Sus scrofa: one gene and its partners. The protein of the gene in region 1 interacts with the protein of each later gene in a pairwise test. Links are inferred from orthologs where the notes say so. Each region holds a gene or a part of one and is shown on either strand. Other genes may lie near its edges.

The links. The genes of interacting proteins can lie anywhere in the genome.
Region 2: the proteins of HSF2 (region 1) and MTUS2 interact in binary tests that used the Homo sapiens proteins (3 or more experiments, as listed by UniProt). The two-hybrid records come from large-scale screens. The link is inferred for Sus scrofa from reciprocal best matches to the Homo sapiens genes HSF2 and MTUS2.
Region 3: the proteins of HSF2 (region 1) and WDR5 interact in binary tests that used the Homo sapiens proteins (3 or more experiments, as listed by UniProt). The two-hybrid records come from large-scale screens. The link is inferred for Sus scrofa from reciprocal best matches to the Homo sapiens genes HSF2 and WDR5.

Annotation. Positions count from the first base shown.
Region 1 is NC_010443.5:40,162,029-40,167,799, reverse strand, and holds part of HSF2 (heat shock factor protein 2), read left to right. Parts: intron 1-1,078; coding exon 1,079-1,203; intron 1,204-3,575; coding exon 3,576-3,651; intron 3,652-5,421; coding exon 5,422-5,483; intron 5,484-5,771. UniProt on the Homo sapiens protein: DNA-binding protein that specifically binds heat shock promoter elements (HSE) and activates transcription. In higher eukaryotes, HSF is unable to bind to the HSE unless the cells are heat shocked.
Region 2 is NC_010453.5:6,194,753-6,200,523, reverse strand, and holds part of MTUS2 (microtubule-associated tumor suppressor candidate 2), read right to left. Parts: intron 2,829-5,771; 5' UTR 2,586-2,828; coding exon 459-2,585; intron 1-458. UniProt on the Homo sapiens protein: Binds microtubules. Together with MAPRE1 may target the microtubule depolymerase KIF2C to the plus-end of microtubules. May regulate the dynamics of microtubules at their growing distal tip.
Region 3 is NC_010443.5:273,572,605-273,578,264, forward strand, and holds the end of WDR5 (WD repeat-containing protein 5), read left to right. Parts: exon of another isoform or gene 1-952; coding exon 953-1,028; exon of another isoform or gene 1,029-1,699; coding exon 1,700-1,733; intron 1,734-1,902; coding exon 1,903-1,977; exon of another isoform or gene 1,978-2,370; coding exon 2,371-2,458; intron 2,459-3,562; coding exon 3,563-3,663; 3' UTR 3,664-3,951; downstream 3,952-5,660.

The DNA.
Region 1 (5,771 bases):
TAGTATGCTTGTCCAAGATTAATATTTCAGTTGTTGAAATTAAGAATATACTGAAATACACAGATACTTGTTGTTGGGATGTCTTAAACTAATAAAGCTTTAATTATTTCTGTTTCATTTTTCTCTGCACTCAACTACATGGAGGGCTCAGTCTTTAAACACTTTTAGATAGAAAGAAATGTTTACATTTTGACTTAGAATAAGGAGTCATCTAGATTGGGATGACTCATTCCGTCTAATTTAGCCTAAAAAATGTAAGCTCCTATGAGAAAGTCAGCCGCCTGGAGGGCCTTTTTCTGTAGTTCACTGCTCAATATCCAGTGCCTAAAAGAAATCCCTTATATGTAGTAGACAATTAACAATACATTTTTTTTTCCTTTTTGTCTTTTTGCCTTTTCTAGGGCTGCTCCCATGGCATATGGAGGTTCCCAAGCTAGGGATCTAATCAGAGCTGTAGCTGCCAGCCTACACCACAGCCACAGCAACATGGGATCCAGGCTGCGTCTGTGACCTGCACCAGAGCTCACAGCAATACCGGATCCTTAACCCACTGAGCAAGGCCAGGGATCGAACCCAAAATCTCAAGGTTCTTAGTCGGATTTGTTAACTACTGAGCCATGACAGGAACTCCTAATAATGCATTTTTTGAATGGATGATATGTTTTGCTGAAATAAGTATGTTGACTAAATCCACAGAAGGAAGGGGTAGGGATACAGGGTAGTGGACCATGAAAGAAAATGGCCTATTACCGCATAATTTTAATTAAATATGGAATGTGTTAATAAAAGGCTTGGGGAAATTAGAGGGAATTTTAGCAGAAAGAAATGACAAAAAAAAAAAAAAAAAAAAAAAAAAAAAAGATGTTCCAGCTCATGGAAACTTTCCCACATTAAAAATAAATAAACTGATTATGCCTTATCCTCTCTATGAGCTGTGAAGTCTGTACTTTTCCTGGGCTTTTGGAACTAGATCTCACTTCCTTGAATAGGCTATAAAAACGTCTTATAACAGGGAAGCCTTGAATTATAATGCTAGTATTTAGTATTTGTTTAATTTCCTAAATTTACTTTTTAAAAGGTTTCATCTTCAAAACCAGAAGAAAATAAAATTCGTCAGGAAGATTTAACAAAAATTATAAGTAGTGCTCAGAAGGTTCAAATAAAACAAGAAACTATTGAGTCCAGGCTTTCTGAATTGAAAAGGTAAAGTAGTATTTTCAAATATAATCCTGATATGAGGTTTGGTGTGTCTGTATGTGTGTTTGGATTGGAGGTTGATGCTTTAAGTACTTAGATTATGTTGTTGAGCCAAGATTAAAAGCCATTTTTCTTAAGTGTTGATTCCCTTTACTTTTTTATTTGTAGCTATATATAGACTTTACCGCAATAGTATATTTTTATGATTGTGATTAAAAAAAAGTATAAACCTGGACAGTCAAAACAATTTGCGCAAGTTTTACTGATGAAATAATAGATCACTAATTTGGTGTAGGAAATAGGATTCTGCTTTCATATGTTTACATATGAGGACACACAAGTCATAAAAAATACTGTATATATAACTCGTCCTTATAGCAGTGTAAGATATTTTCTGTGTGGCCTATCTTTTAAGACACAAAAATAGGGAAAAAAGGACACAAGAGACTTGCCCTACTTGATAGTTACATAGACTTGAGAAAATATTACTCAAACCTTTTATCTGCAGAAGATGCTTTATTTTGCTTCAGTACGTTTTTTGGCACCATTATCCTAATGCCACAGTAACAATTCATATATAGAGTAGATGTGTATTTTTATTCTTAGTAAGTAGCTAGAAATTTTCTTTTAGCGTAGTAGGTGCCAAGGTCTTGAGAGTAGTTCTTTTATGTATTGTCCCTTTCATGTCAAATATGGGGCATTAGTTTAGCTATTTTTTTTTTTTTTTTTTTTTTTTTTTGTCTTTTTGCCATTTCTTGGGCTGCTCCTGCGGCATATGGAGGTTCCCAGGCTAGGGGTCCAATCGGAGCTGTAGCCACCAGCCTATGCCAGAGCCACAGCAACGGGGGATCCGAGCCGTGTCTGCAACCTACACCACAGCTCACGGCAACGCCGGATCCTTTAACCCACTGAGCAAGGCCAGGGGTCGAACCCGCAACCTCATGGTTCCTAGTCGGATTCGTTAACCACTGCGCCACGACGGGAACTCCAGTTTAGCTATTCTTAAGTATTTTCATTAAGAGAATAACCTTGGGCTTTGATTCTCTTTTTGAATAAGCCTTAATTTTAAGCTTGCCCCTTTTGCATGTTTTATTTAAGCACTTGTATTGGTTTACTGTATGTATCTTGTGTTTTCTGAAGTGCCTTTTGACCCAATTCCTTGAATTTCAGGTTTAGCCCTTAAGGAATGGGATCCAAAATTCATTCTAAGTCTCAGTGGTAACCATTCTCTTACTTATCTGTAGTAGGCAGGTGACAGTATCTTTACATTTCTGAATCAGAAAAAAGTACAGTAGTTATTCAGTAAGTATTAAAGTCTTATTTTCTGTGCCCTCTATACCTAAATCCAGTCCCTTTTGTAATGGTCTGGACTGAGAAGGTTGGCTTTTGTGGAAATTAATAAAAGAACAAAAATAAAATCATTTAATAGATAAATTATCTTTCATGCCTTCTCAGCTTTATCATTGCTGACATTTAGTAACCGCAATTTCAATAAAAATGGTGAATGAAAGGAGAAAACTTACTACTAGGCACATAGTTTGTTATGTATTTGGATATGCTTAAAAAGCACGCTTTTAATATGCTTTAAAAAATTTATATGCTTATGTTTGAGACAGACAGTTTTAGAGTCTGATAGACTTTAGTTCAACATCAACACTTACCACATTGTGTGATCTTGGGTAAGTCTTTTCAGTTCCCTGAGTCTCAGTCTCCTCAGCTATAAAATAGTTATATAATTCCTTTCTGGACAGATTTAAGAAACATTTAAATGAGTAATATGCATAAAATGCTTATATAAATAGTGTCTGGCATGGCAAGTGTTGGTTAAATGTTACTTCCCTTTAAGAATTGTTTCCTAAGCACAAGTTCTGAATTCACATGATTGAAAGTTAGCTTATTTTTATATTTATTTTTTGCCTTTCTACAGCATATGGAGTTCCTGGTCCGAGCCACATTTGGGACCTCTGCCCCAGGTGTGGCAATGCTGGATCCTTTAGCCCACTGTACCAGGCCAGGGTTCAAACCTGCATCCTGGCCCGTCAGAGATGCCGCCAATTCCATTACGCTACAGCGGGATCTCCAAAAAGTTAGCTTGTTTCTTAAACAAGAAGTGATTAACCACATTGTCAGAGGAGTATATGGCCTATTAAGTGTTTGTATATATACTGCCATGAGTAGAAGATACTATAGTTATAAAGGAAAGATTCTGGAGTTGTGTCAAAATAGGTGTCATTCTGTGTAATTGAACCACAGTTTTCCTAGTCTCATGAAGATAGGTAGTAAAAACTAGTTCTGTTTTATGGTATTCTTAAAAATGTTGAGGCCTGGTTTTTCTGACTAAATTTATTAATTTTTATTTTTAATAAATGATAACATAGTGAGAATGAGTCCCTTTGGAAGGAGGTGTCAGAATTAAGAGCAAAACATGCACAACAACAGCAAGTTATTCGAAAGGTAAGCTTTTTTTTCCTGTGACCATAATCTGCGTTTATTTGAGTACTATTTGTGACCTTCGAGAAACCTCTATTAAATAGTGATTGATCTTAGTTTTTTTAATATATTGGGTACACAGAAGTAAACCTATGAAATCAAACAAGCCAATGTTATATATTTTTTAATTAAAAAATTTCTCATTAGCTAAATACAGTCATTGCATACTTGCAACTAATGTTTCATTAGCTTTTAGTAAAATCTTTTTCCTGATATAACAACTTTAGTATACTTCATTCTTAGGAGCATAATTAATATACTACCAATTTCTTAACACATTTTATATAAAAGACATAGCCTTACTATGTAGGATGTTTTTGTTTTTTGTTTTACTTTAAAAGGTATAGATTCAGTCTCAGATAAATGACTAATATTTTCAAGTTAACTGATCAAATTATATGCTCAGAAGAGTTACTAGTGTGTGCTGTCATTAGTCTGTGCAGAAAAGCAGTGAATGCAGTGTTATAAAATGTATCTGAGCTGAAAATTACTAGGGGAACCAAAAAAAACTCTCGGCCACATAGTGTCCTTGTACTTTAATCTTCTCATATCAGCTTTCATATGTTAATAAGAGGTGAAACATAAAAGTAATTAAGGCAGCTATTTTTTGCTCATGAGTAAACTGGACTCTTAAGTTTAAGCAACAGGTTTTTTTTGGGGGAGGGAGGGTGGGCGAGCTTCAGTTTGTTCCTAACCCAGAGGCCTTTAGCTAAAAATAGGGTTATGACTGAAAAGATGTGGGTCTGATGGAGCAGGCTTAGAATACAGAGATGAATGGTAGTTGCAGCCTTTCCCCTATAATTAATATAGGTATACTGATTTTTAAAAATCACTATGAAAATGGAGGTTGAATGTAGGTAGCATTCAGTTCTAGGTGTTTAGTCCAAGTTTTATGTATTTTCAGAACTTCCATAGTTGATTCCAACTTGAAGCTATGTTTAAGAATACCCGACTTAGGAGTTCCCATGTGACTCAGTGGGTTAATCATCTGGCATTATCACTGCAGTGGCTCAGATTGCTGCTTTGGTGCGGGTTCAATCCCTGGCTGCCATGAGCACAGCCCCCCCAAAAAAGTATACCTGATTTAAAATGATAAGTGTACCTTAACCTGTATTTTATTTTAAAAATTTGCTTCCCCCTGCCCTGGAAAACAGTGTTCGGGTTAAATATTAACTCACAGTACTCCATAATTTGAAGTGGTTTTTTTTTTTTTTTTTTTCCTGAAAGCAGTAGTAGTTAGTAAAATATTTATTTAACATTTCAGTTTTACATGAAAGCTAACATTCTTTCTGCTCAAATTTGAGTTTGCATCTATATTTTAGTGAGGTTAGGGTGTTTACATAATGCATGATGACAGCTGATAAATTTTTTCTCTATTCCTGGAATTTGTTTCTAACTCTTCCACTTTTTGGCCTTGGAATAATAATATATGGGAGGTATCTTTATAGGATTTGTTAGGTACAGAGCTGATAAGATAGATAGATATATGGGTAGATGGATGTCCTAGGCTTCTCTATATTTTAGGCAGCAGCTTTATCACAGATTTTTCTTCTGCCTGGAAGCTGGTATGTTTCTTTAGATACTGTAAGATGCACCCACATTTATAATATGTTAATTTTCAAGAAAGTATGTGACTTAGAGGACATATACTATGTGAGTTAATTTTATAAGACTTGTAATATGGACTAAAGAATTAGGAATCGGTAATGGAACATCTTTAAATTTTCCTTTTAGATTGTCCAGTTTATTGTTACATTGGTTCAGAATAACCAACTTGTGAGTTTAAAACGTAAAAGGTAAGCTTTTATACTACATCTTGACCTAGTCATAGACAACCAGACATGTTAAGAGTTTAACCATGAATTGCCTACATTTGTTCAGTGTATGCCTCTTGTCCAAGATGAACAGTCCTCCCTTGTTAAATTATACTTTCAACATTTTAAGAGTGATGTTGTGGAGTTCCCATCATGGCGCAGCGGAAACGAATCTGTCTGGGAACGATGAGGTTGCGGGTTCGATCCCCGGCCTTGCTCAGTGGGTTAAGGATCTGGCGTTGCTGTGAGCTGTGATGTAGGTCGAAGATG
Region 2 (5,771 bases), on another chromosome or scaffold:
AAGGGCAGAGCTGTTCCGATCAGCTGGGAGAAGGACAGCCTTCCTCCAGTCTCTGCCATCCTTAAAGGACAAAGCTGACCAATCTGAACAATATGTTTATCTTGGATTTTTTTCCATTGACCTGGTTTACGGGCGAATTACGCTCACATGGTTAAACGAGGAAGCCCACTTACATGCATGCTCCTCTAACGCTCCTGCATTTATTCTGTCGGGTAGAATTTAAATGGGTCTCTTCGGATCCATCAGCTTCCTCTCCTTCTGATCATCAAACTCTTCTCATGGGAACTGGCCATTTGCCTCCCGCCTCCTCTAGTTACAGATGTCCATTTCTACACACGCCCATCCGCCACAACCTGCACTTTGCTAAGAGGACACTCTGTTCTGACCCTTCACTGAACACACATAACGAACGCCAGGACGTGCGACTCACAGACCGGGCCACAGCGACCTTCTCTTACCTCCTGCAGAAACTTTTCACTCATTTGACCGAAGGGGTGTCCCGGGGGCTTGATCCCAGACACCACCAGCCCGGAGCTGAACACCCGGGGCCTCTGCAAGTCCGGCTTGAACTTCTCGTAGAGGCCGGCCGCCGGCTTCAGGTCCCCGCCCGCCCCCTTCTCCTCTTTGGGGAGCGGCACGGCACACGCGGGCGGAGCGTAAGGAAGGCCCACGGGGACCAGCGACGCGTCCACCTGGCCCAGGGCCTGGGGGCCCCTCCTGATGTACGTGATGATCTTGGGCCTCACGGGCTTGGGCTTGGGCACGATCACGGCCTTGGGGTCCGCCCTCTCCTCCGGCTTCTCCGGCTGGGGGCCCTCCAGCCCCTCCTGCGAGGCGGCCACAGGCTTGGGGATCCCGGTGGGGCAGGCGCCCTTGTCAGGCACTTTCGGGGCAGCGAGTGACAACCTCGCGCTGTCGGCGGGGGGCGGGGCAGCCGGGGAGGACCCCGCGTCCACACTCCAGGCGCCCGGGTCCTGAGCGCGGCTGCTGGGGGGTGGAGGCTGGCGGGACACAGTCACAGTTGTCTCTGGGTGGAGGGGCACTGGGACCCTGAGAAGGGGTTCTGTTCTCGCTGGGGTGCTTTCAGTCTTAGCATTTTCTAGACGGTCCCTAGTCTCGACAGGGCACGCAGGGATCTCTGTGCCTTCGCTGGCTTCTGAGGTGCTGCCGGGAAGGGGCTCAGGGACCCCAACTTTGCTCCCTCCAGTGGAAGGGTCTGAATTAAAAACTCCAGGGCTGTTCTCGTTCCCAGGGCCCAGGACCCCATTCTCCGCCCTGGGATCCAAGGGCCTGCTGTCCCTCGAATCATCAGGAGTCAAAGCCACGTGACCATCACCTGCTGAAACGCGGCTGGATGCCACAGTGTCACCCAGTCTGCTGGCTGCGCTTGGGGAAATTCGACCTATGGGCTGATGATCAGCAGCCCCCAAGGAAGCAGGGCTCTGTGTGGGGGTGCCCTGAAGAGACCCCTCCTCGTTTCTCTTTTCCTGCTCCCTCCTGCCTCTTCCCACGCCCAGTGGGTGGGGACCGCTGTGGGCCAGGCCGCTGAACGCAGCGCCGGAGGCTTCTTGCTGTGCTTCCCCAGCCGGCTCCCTTCTCCCGAGAGGTGACACCACATCCTCCTTAGCACATTCCGGGCCGTCCACCTGGGCGTACCTGAGCTCCTGCCCGGGCCTGGGCTGGACGAGCTTCGGCTCCGTTGTAGGCTCTGCCTTGCCCTGACCTGGTTGTGCTTCTGGCTGCCTCAAGACACCCCTGGATGCTGGAGTGGAATCGGGAGTGCCCTCTGGGTGGGCAGAAGGCACCGTGCCCTGGGCGCTTACTTGGGGGACCCATCCCAGGGCGGGCGGCATCTCCTTGGCTTCTGAGGTAGATGGTTTAGGATGACACACGCTCTCTCCCTCTGAGGTGCTGTCGGCTGGGGGACATGCCGGCCTTGCAGGAGGGGCCATCCCCGTCTTCTGCGGCCCCTCTCCATCTCCGGGCACCGCAGGCTGCGGAAGAGGCCAGGCCAGGCCCCCAGCCCGCTCCTTTGTGAGCACGTCCAGGGCCACAGAGGCGCTGCCGGCTCTCTCCAAAGAATGCCTCCTCAACTCCTCGTTGTCCAGGGTCTTGGCCAGCTTATCCTTGGGAACAGGCCGGGGAGTCTCCACCTCCCTTTTAGCCAAAGCCTCTGGCCCGGCCTCGCCCGCAGCGGTCCTCCAGCTCAGCAGACCTGGTCCCTGCAGGCCCCGAGGGCCCTGCGGGGGCTCTGCGCCCCTCTCCAGCACGGGCTCTTCACTCAGTGCTCTTGGAACTGTCAGAGAAAATTTAAAATCCTTCAGGCTGGCGGGGCCGCCCTGGGGGGCCTTCCCAAAGGCCGGAAGTGGGTGGAAGTCCTTGTGGACGCGGCTGCTGTTTTCTGGCCCCCTCGAGTTTGCATTTCCAATCTCGCCGTCAGCAGGAGAGGAGCCGACCTCCAACATGATGGGGTTGGCGTTGGTATCGCCCAGGCTTAGGACGCTCTCGTTATTGTTTTTCACCCCATTGCTGCTGTCCCGCAACTCGGTATAACACGACTTCTTAGGAGGCGCTGGGACGCTCATTGTGAATCCTTGGGTGGGGGCCGCCTGCCATGCAGGCGCCCTTCGCGGAGAGGGGCTTCCTTCCAGCTGCTCCCCGGTGAACGGGAAATTCTCAAGCTGCTGGCTGCCCCCTGAGAAGGTCACTGGGCGATCCCGCCTTGATCATTTTCAGAGCGGTTTTAAAATCCAGCATTGTCTTGACCCACAGCAAGGTGATGTCTCTGTTGGGTTCCAGCTCAATGAGAGCCAATTAGCCCATGAGACCTAGAGAGAAAGAAAAAGAAAAGCACATTCGATCCACAGAGACTCTCGGGAGAAAAAGGCCTGGGAAGCACAGACCGAGTCACCACTTTCCTACTATTACTTAAGCCACTGGAGCCAGATCAGATTTCTCAAAAACCTTCCCCACAGGGGCTCCTGCTGGCCAAATATGGGAAACTGTAACGTCAAAAGGATCGATGTTAGGAGTTCCCACTGTGGCGCAGCAGAAACAAACCTGCCTAACATCCGTGAGGATGCGAGTTCGATCCCTAGCCTCACTCCGCGGGTTAAAGATCTGGTGTTGCTGTGAGCTGTGGTGTAGGTCACAGATGCGGCTCGAATCCTGCATTGCTGTGGCTGTGGTGCAGGCTGGCAGCAGTAGCTCTGATGAGAACCCCTAGCCTGGGAACTTCCATAAGCCGCGGGTATGGCTCTTAAAAAAAAAAAAAAAAAAAAAAAAAAAAAAGATTAATCTTAGAAATGGATGATAAATACATATGAATTAAGTTCAAATTTTAAACACCCACAAGCTCACCATGATACTGATTAAAAAGAGGAGAGGAGACAGGAAGGCTCTTCTTCACGGAAGAGTACAAACTGACATGCGAAAAATTAGGTGCTTAGAAACATCCCCGGAGTAATAACTATTGTGGGGGAGGGGCCGATGGTGGCTAAAATCACTGAGTGCAGAATTGCAGGGGAACAGGATATTTACAGAAGCCTAAGGCACCACCCTCCAGATTACTGAATTTCTTACAAAGGAGCGTTTCAGCCGTACAGTGGAGAAAGCCCGTGGACAGCACCGTACCTCGTGATCAAATCCGACATCAATACGGAAACGGGTACCACGTGCTCCAGAGGCCAGGTGGCTCTCAGTGCTCCATCCCCTGGGGGAGTAGCCTCGCTATAAACATGCAACCTGTTAACCATGAGGAAATAATCAGGCACATGTGTGTGGGGGGGTGCCTTTTTATTTTTTATTTTTTTTTAGGGCTGCACCCAAGGCATATGGAATTTCCCAGGCTAGGGGCTGAATCGGAGCCATAGCTACTACACCAGAGCCACAGCTACACCAGATCCAAGCCAGGTCTGTGACCTACGTCACAGCTCATGGCAACACCGATCCTCAACCCACTGAGTGAGGCCAGGGATGGAAGCTGCGTCCTCGTGGATGCCAGTCAGATTCACGGACGCCAATGAGATTCGTTTCTGCTGAGGCACAACGGGAACTCCTCCAGGCACATTTAAATCGATGGGCAGTCTACAAAACAGCTGGGCTAAAGTTGCCTCCCCCAAAAGGCCAGGGGACATCTAGACGCAACGCACGATCCTTGACTGGATCCTGGCTTTTTAAAACGTTAGCAAAGGTCACGGGGCCGATTTGAGATCTCAGTGGAGACTACGTACAGAGTAAAGGTATTGATCAGTGTTCACTTTGCTGGGTGTGCAGCAGCAGCATCGTGATGCCACCGCAGCTAAGTCTGTGTTCCCAGAAGGCACCTGACATGAAACATGACATGCTTTTTGCAGGACAGGTTGTCTGTCACTTACTCTCAAATGGTTGGGCAAAGAGAAAAACGTGTGCGTGAAAGAGACAGTGCACACAACCTTGGGAAAACGTTTGCCATTTGAAAACCTAGGCAGTCCTTTCAAATACACCTGCCACTTCCTTCAAAATAAGAAGGTGGAGAACATTCTGGTCCTGCCTGTGGGGCCTGCAGGATCCGTCCCGTACAGGCCTTTCTGGCTTCATCCCCTCTGGTCCTCTTCCGCCCTCGGCTGCAGCCGCACTGTCCTCATCCCTCGTGTTCCTTCCCCCTGCTTCAGGGCCTTTGCACACACTCTCCCACCCGCGTGAAATGTGGAATCTTCCCCCAACCTTGTCCATAGAGCTCCCTGTCATTTGCAGTTTGCAGCATAAATGCCACTTCCTCCAGGAAGCCTGCCTGATCCACTAGATTAGGTCTTTCTATGTGAACTTCCATAACACCCTCCATTTTAACTTTAAAAAAATCCTTGAAATATGCTAGGCACTGAAGAAAATATTGTTAATATTGAGAATTAATATACATTAATATATATTATATACAATCATATAATGTTATATCATACCATGTATCATACATGATATATTATATATTATATATCATGTATCACATTATATCATATATGTTACATAATATGTATCATATCATACACATGGCACTTGACATATATTCATAGCATGAATGAATGAATACATGATTAACCAAATGATGAAGATCAATATTATTTCTGCCTTCATCGAGCTTAAATTCTCATAGAGTAATTAAATTTCTACCAAAGGAGACTCACAGATCATCAGTAAACCACTCAAGGCTAACAATGTTTTAGCCACTACTGTGAATGCATTTATTAGGCCCTGGGGACGGGAGAATTTAAGAGTAATAAGCTTCTGCCTCGTCCCCAGGTCCCCCAAAGGGGATTCAAAGTGAGCAGCTGCCGTCTGCAGCTCCCTCTGCTTCTCATGAGCATACGCACGTGCGCACACATCACATGGGAGGCTGCTGTGAGGTTTCTACTAAAATAGGTTACAGGGAAGCCACTCCTCTTCCCCTCGTCACTGCTTCACATGCTCTTTCACACATTCAAAGGAACATGTGTGTATCCTCATGTTCTGGGTACATCGGTACACAGACTACACCTGCGCAGGTGTATGCATGCTCCACATCCGTGTACATTTGTTTTATAACATGTTATAAAACAAAAGAACACAAGGCACGAGAAAAACAAAGTGCTGGAAAAATCGCCAATACCTTGCAGCTCCCTCCATGCTCCCGTCCATCTCCATCCCAACCGCCCAACTTCATTTTTCACTGGACCACCTCCCGCGGGCGTCCCTAAGAACTCAATTAACGGAGCTTTCTTTTCCTTTCATCTGTTTGCATCAAGACATTAACACGTACT
Region 3 (5,660 bases), about 230 Mb from region 1:
TGGGTTACCTGGCAAAGCCCCTGTGCAACCCCACAGCCAGGCAGGATGCTGAGGCCTGGAGATGTGGAGTCCTGGCTGGGAGGTGGGGACGGCAGGGAGTGGTTCCTGGCCCCACTTCTAACCTCAGGTCCAGGGAATTGGGCGCCTGGGGCTTGGCAGGACAGCCCTGTGTTGCCTTGCTGGCAGTGCTCACCCTGACCTCTGGGCACCGCCTCCCTCATCCATCCTGAGTGGCCCCTGTGGCCCAGGGGTGGCCCTCATGTGTCTTCTCATGTGCCTTTGCGGTGTCTGGGACCCGTCAGGTGCTCCTGGTGCCCCGAGGTGGTAATGCGGTGCCTGCCCAGTGCCCCGGTGCTGGGGACACAGCCCCGCCGGCTCCCGCTGCCCGGTGCCACCCCGGCTGCCCTCCTATTCAGGCAGATGGGGGGCGGGGGCGTCCTGCAGCCAGAGCACTTTCTGAATGTGCCGCCTCTTTTCCAGCTGCATCCTCAGGGCCCGGGGTGCACCCTGGACCCCAAGGGTCAGAACCAGGGTGTGGGTGTAACAGCAAAGGGTGACTTCTAGGGCGACTTCATGCCTCTTCTACTCTGACCACGGAGCTGGCAGGTGCCTGAGAGGGTTCACCCGGGCTGCCGCCTTCCCAGTGGGCTGCGATTTGCAAGCTCCCTCCTGGGGGTTGATCCCGGGGCCTCTCCTGTACCCTGTGGAAGAGGCCTGGCTACCCGAGAGCCCCTGGCCACCAGGCCTTTGCACCCGAAGCCCTGTGTCATGGGGTCACTGGGAGCCTGGCTCACGCTGGCACGAACAGTGGGTGAGGGAGGGTGGCCGGCTCTCGGGGATCCCCCTGTTGGCACAGGTGGCAGTGGCTGCACTGGGCGACACGTGGTAGGGGAGCGCCACCCCACCCGAGAGCCAGTGCCCGGCGTGGCAGCTGTCTCTGTGCTCCATGCAGATGACGACAACCCGCCCGTGTCCTTCGTGAAGTTCTCTCCGAACGGCAAGTACATCCTGGCCGCGACCTTGGACAAGTAAGCCCTCTGTCCCCGTGCGGGCGGGTTACCAGGGCCATCGCCCCAGGGCCAGGATCCCAGAAAGACACCCGCTCCAGTGCCCGCACGGAGCCTGCTGGGTGCAGGCTGCTGATGTAGGCACCCTGCTGGGATGGTGGGCATGGCGGCCTCCCGGTGCTGCCCGCTCTGCCCGGGCGCCCTGCTCCTAACACGCTTCGGGTGGGTGTCCCGGCCGTCCACTGCCCTCCTGGAGGCGGCTGGCGCTCGGCCTCCCCGGGCACTGTGGGAGCCCTCGGGTGGGCTCACAGGGTCGGCCCCCACAGGAGGAGGAAGGACTGTCCGCCGAGGTCTGTTCTGGACGTGTCCGCAATGGGGCTTCCTGAGCCCTTTTCTCGCAGGGACGTGGACCCCTTCCCGGCTCGGGGAACGCTTAGTAGCTTCCTTTAACCAAGCCTCTTGGGGAGTTAACGTGTGGCTCGACAGGTTAAGGACTTGGCACTGCAGTAGCTCAGGTTCGATCCCTGGCCCAGGAATTTGCACACGCCTCGGCCGAGGCCAAGTGAAAAACAGTGTCTTGGGGTTCCCGCGCTCTGCTCCCAGGTGTCCTTGCTCTGTGGACCCTGGGCTGGGCGCGGGCACCGGAGAGGGTGGGTCCTCGGGGGCTCGGCTGACACGCCCTCTCCCCGCAGCACGCTGAAGCTCTGGGACTACAGCAAAGGGAAGGTGAGCGCCGGGACGGGCTGGCGGAGGGTCGTGCTGGGGCTGGGGCCGGGGCCACGGCTGGGCCGGGGTGGGTTGTGCTCAGAGCGGCTCCGTTGGCTGAAAGGTACCTGGATGGGTTACCCCGGGGTGCAGGGGGGCGCCACTGAGCGGACGGGCCCTGCTGTTTCAGTGTCTGAAGACGTACACCGGCCACAAGAATGAGAAGTACTGCATATTCGCGAATTTCTCTGTCACTGGCGGGAAGGTGAGTCATGTCCCTGCTGGGGGTTCTCCCCGGCCCCTCTGGGGCGCTTTTTAACCCAGTGCAGCCCCGCTGGTGGCATCCTCAGCGGGCCTTCCCATTGCGTCCTCTTCAGGGCCACAGGCTCCTTTGCGATGCCGAGGGTGTCAGCACCTTCTGGGAGTCAGGGACCCTGGCAGGCTCTGGCGTCTGGTCCCCGGGGCTCCCCGCCTCTCAGGCTCAGGCTGCGGGGGAGATGGTGACGGCAGCCCTGATTGGAGCAAACAGTTTATGTCCTAGAAGTGGCGGGTGCTGGTGCGGCATCGGGACAGGAGATGGGCGGAGACCCACACGGGGAGGGGTGCTGGTACTGCTGGTCCCCAGGCACGCGCCTGACACCCTCCCGCCCCGTGACAGTGGATCGTGTCGGGCTCGGAGGACAACTTGGTTTACATCTGGAACCTGCAGACGAAAGAGATTGTGCAGAAGCTGCAGGGCCACACGGGTGAGCTCTCCCCCACGGAGGGACCAGGTCCTGTGAGCATCCTCCTGCCTCTGCTCCTCGGCCCCCTGGGAGCCGGGGGCTCTGTTTGGAGCTGTGGGTCTGAGCGCCCGCAGGCCGAGCCCGAGTGTGGCTTTAACCTCTCCTCCGGCCCTTGACGTCCTTGTGGGCCCTGTGGTCTGTCCCCGTGGAGATGGTACAGGGACCCGGGCTGCCTGCCGTCTGCTCTGCCGGCTGGCTCCTTTCCAGGCTCTGACCTCCTGCCCGCTCCTGTCCCCTGTGTGGAGTACCTGGGCAGCCCCTAAGCCCCCCCCCCCGCCCTCCCCACTCCTGCTCAGTGCAGAGTGGTGTCCAGCCGTGGAGAGTCTGATGAGAGTGTGCGACTCTGCCTAAGGAAGCCACGCCACTGCCTGAGGTCCTGGCCTGAGCTTGGAGGTCCGTGCTGGCCTTCAGCTTCCGCACCTGGCCTGTTGCTTCTGCCCTGCTGTGGGCAGGATGCTCAGGCTTATTTGAAACCACTCAGGCAAGAGGGAAGATTCTGGGGTTCAGTTGTCTTTTTAGGGCCGCACCTGCGGCATATGGCGTTCCCAGGGTAGGGGCTGAATCAGAGCTGCAGCTGCTGGCCTCCTCCACAGCCACAGCAATGCCAGGGATCAAACCTGCGCCCTCATGGATACCAGTCAAATTTCTTTCCGCTGAGCCATGATGGGAGCTCCCAAGGGGCTGAGTTAATTTCAGAGCTGCAAAGTGTTAACCTGACGGACCCCAGGCGCCAGCCCCGGGGGTGAACTTGCAGCGCAGCCCTGCGGGCGTCCTCTGCTCCGCGGCGGGGAGCGCGTGGGTGCGCCGGTTTGGGTCCCGGTGCAGAGGGCGCGATGTCGATGCCGTGAGACGGACCCCGGCTGTGCCTCTGGCTTGTGAGGGGCCCCAGTCTCTGGGCTCGGCGCTGGGCAGCCTCCGGGCCCAGGCCGGTGCTGAGCACCTCGCGGCCCACTGTCCAGGCCTGGTGACCTGAGCTCTGGGCTCGGACGCCCTGGGGCGGGGCAGGGCTGCGGGGCGGGGCCACGGGGCGGGGCCGCGGAGGGACCGTGGTGCCTCTGCTTTCAGACGTGGTCATCTCGACGGCCTGCCACCCCACAGAGAACATCATCGCCTCGGCCGCGCTGGAGAACGACAAGACCATCAAGCTCTGGAAGAGCGACTGCTAGGCCCGCGGGCGCGGGGCTGTCGGGACGCCCAGCCGGGCTGGCGAGAGCTCGGTGCTCGAGGGGCTCCCTGGTCCAGGCCTGGGGACTGGAGGCGCCTGGGCCTGCGCCGCCTCCGAGGACGGCTTGGCCGAGGGCCGTGTCCTCCGCAGAGGTTCTCGGAGCTGCCGGTGGCGATTCTTGCCAATGCCTGTCTTGTTGGCTGGGGAAGAGTTAGAGTCTGTATTGTGTTCGGAGGCCACAGAAATTTCTAATTTTTTATTACAAAAGGTGAAGTTCAATTTATCACGAGTTGTGTTTTTTTCCAGTAACTGTTCTGTGCATTTTATCACCCAGTGCAAGTGCTGGACCAGTCGCCACCACGGTGTGTGGGCGCCAGCCTCGCCCACCCGGCCTCAGAGGGGCCCCCTCGTGGGTCCAGTGACCTCTCTGGGGACCCCCACCCGGTGTTGGTCCTGCCCGCGCTCGAAAGCAGCGTGTCTGCAGCGTGTCTGCCCACGTGCCTTTGGCATCGGGGCCGTTGTCCCCGTGCTGCCAGCGTGGGGGTCACCCTGGGCGCTTCTGTTTGTCCCTCTGGTGGTCACACGCAGGCAGCGCCCCAGCGGTGATAAAGGTGGCAGCCTGGGCGAGTGGCCGCCGGGTTCTCACACAGAGCTTTGCTCGCTCTTTTGTGGAAAGCCTCGCGGTCGGCAGGAGGTTGAGAGGACGCCTCTCAAAAGACAGGTCCGAGGGATGCGCCACTCCTTGTCCACGCGGGCTCGAGGGCCCCTGCAGGCTGGTGGCCTGTGGATGTGGGGGCGCAGGACGGAGGGGGCCCCGTGGCCGCTGTGGGTGCGGGTGAGGGTGGAGGAGGCTGTGACCTGAGGGCGCAGTGGTGTCCACGCCTGCCGCCCACGCCAGGACGGGCTCCCCGCGGGGGCCTGGCGTCAGCCACCCACACAGTGGGCGCTGCCCCTAGCAGAGGGAGCGAGGGCGCTGGAGGCTTCTGGACGGACGGCAGAGCAGGGCCGTGGGGGACCCCTCTCTGCAGTGAGGCCACCCCGTAGTCCCAGGCCCACCTGCGGCTCCAAGACCGTAGCGGTGGAGGCTGCTTCGTAAGGAGCATCCCCTGCCTGTGGCCGGGAGTCTGGCCCGTGCTCAGGCTCGGGGCTCATCTCCCCTGGGGCCACTCCTGGGGCCCGAGTGCCTGGGTCCTGGCTCCATCGCGCTGAGTGACAGTGTGCAGGTGGGGGCGTGAGGGCTGCTGTCACACAGAACATGGGGAAACAAGCCACTTCCCGCCCTGCCCTTCAGAAGTAGGCGGACAGCGGGCTGGCTCTAGGGACGAATAGCTCGGGTGAAAGGACACTGCATTCCCCGGGCGACAGCCTGGGAGGCGCTGAGCTCCCGCGGCCGTGGTGTGGCCTCAGATTTCCTTTGGTTCTGTTGGTTCTGGCGTTGGGCGCAGCCCGGGAGGAGGGCGTATGTGCAGGGCCCTGTGTCCTGGAATATAGTTTATTTTTTCTACATTTGAATTCTCTGTTGTAGATTTATGTAAAAATACATTCTCTTTTTGAAAATAAAGAGCTTCCTGTCTTGTAATTCTGTCCGCGAGAACTGTTTGCCTTTCTTAACCTCTGGCTGTCACCAGAGTGGGAGGCGGCCTGAGGCGGCCCTGCTCTCTGCTCGGGCTTTGCAGTGCCCTGGAGGCTAGCGTGCTCTGGCGGGAAGTTCTTGGTGTTTTTAAAATACCCCTTTCTTAAGAAAATTACGTATTTGTGCTCATTACTAACAGTATAATAAAGGCAAAGGTAAGAAGTCACCCAGCTTCTGCTCACCACTAATGTTTTGGTGTACGTCTTCTAGGATAGTAAAAAAAGATTTTATGATGGGACACTTGAAACCTCATAGAAGTGGAGAAAATCCCCGTGTCCTCACCCTCAGCTTCACGATCTTAGGGCATCTCTTGTTTTAGGCGGCCTTCCGTGGTCATTTTACGATAAACGCCAGGTGTTCTGTCA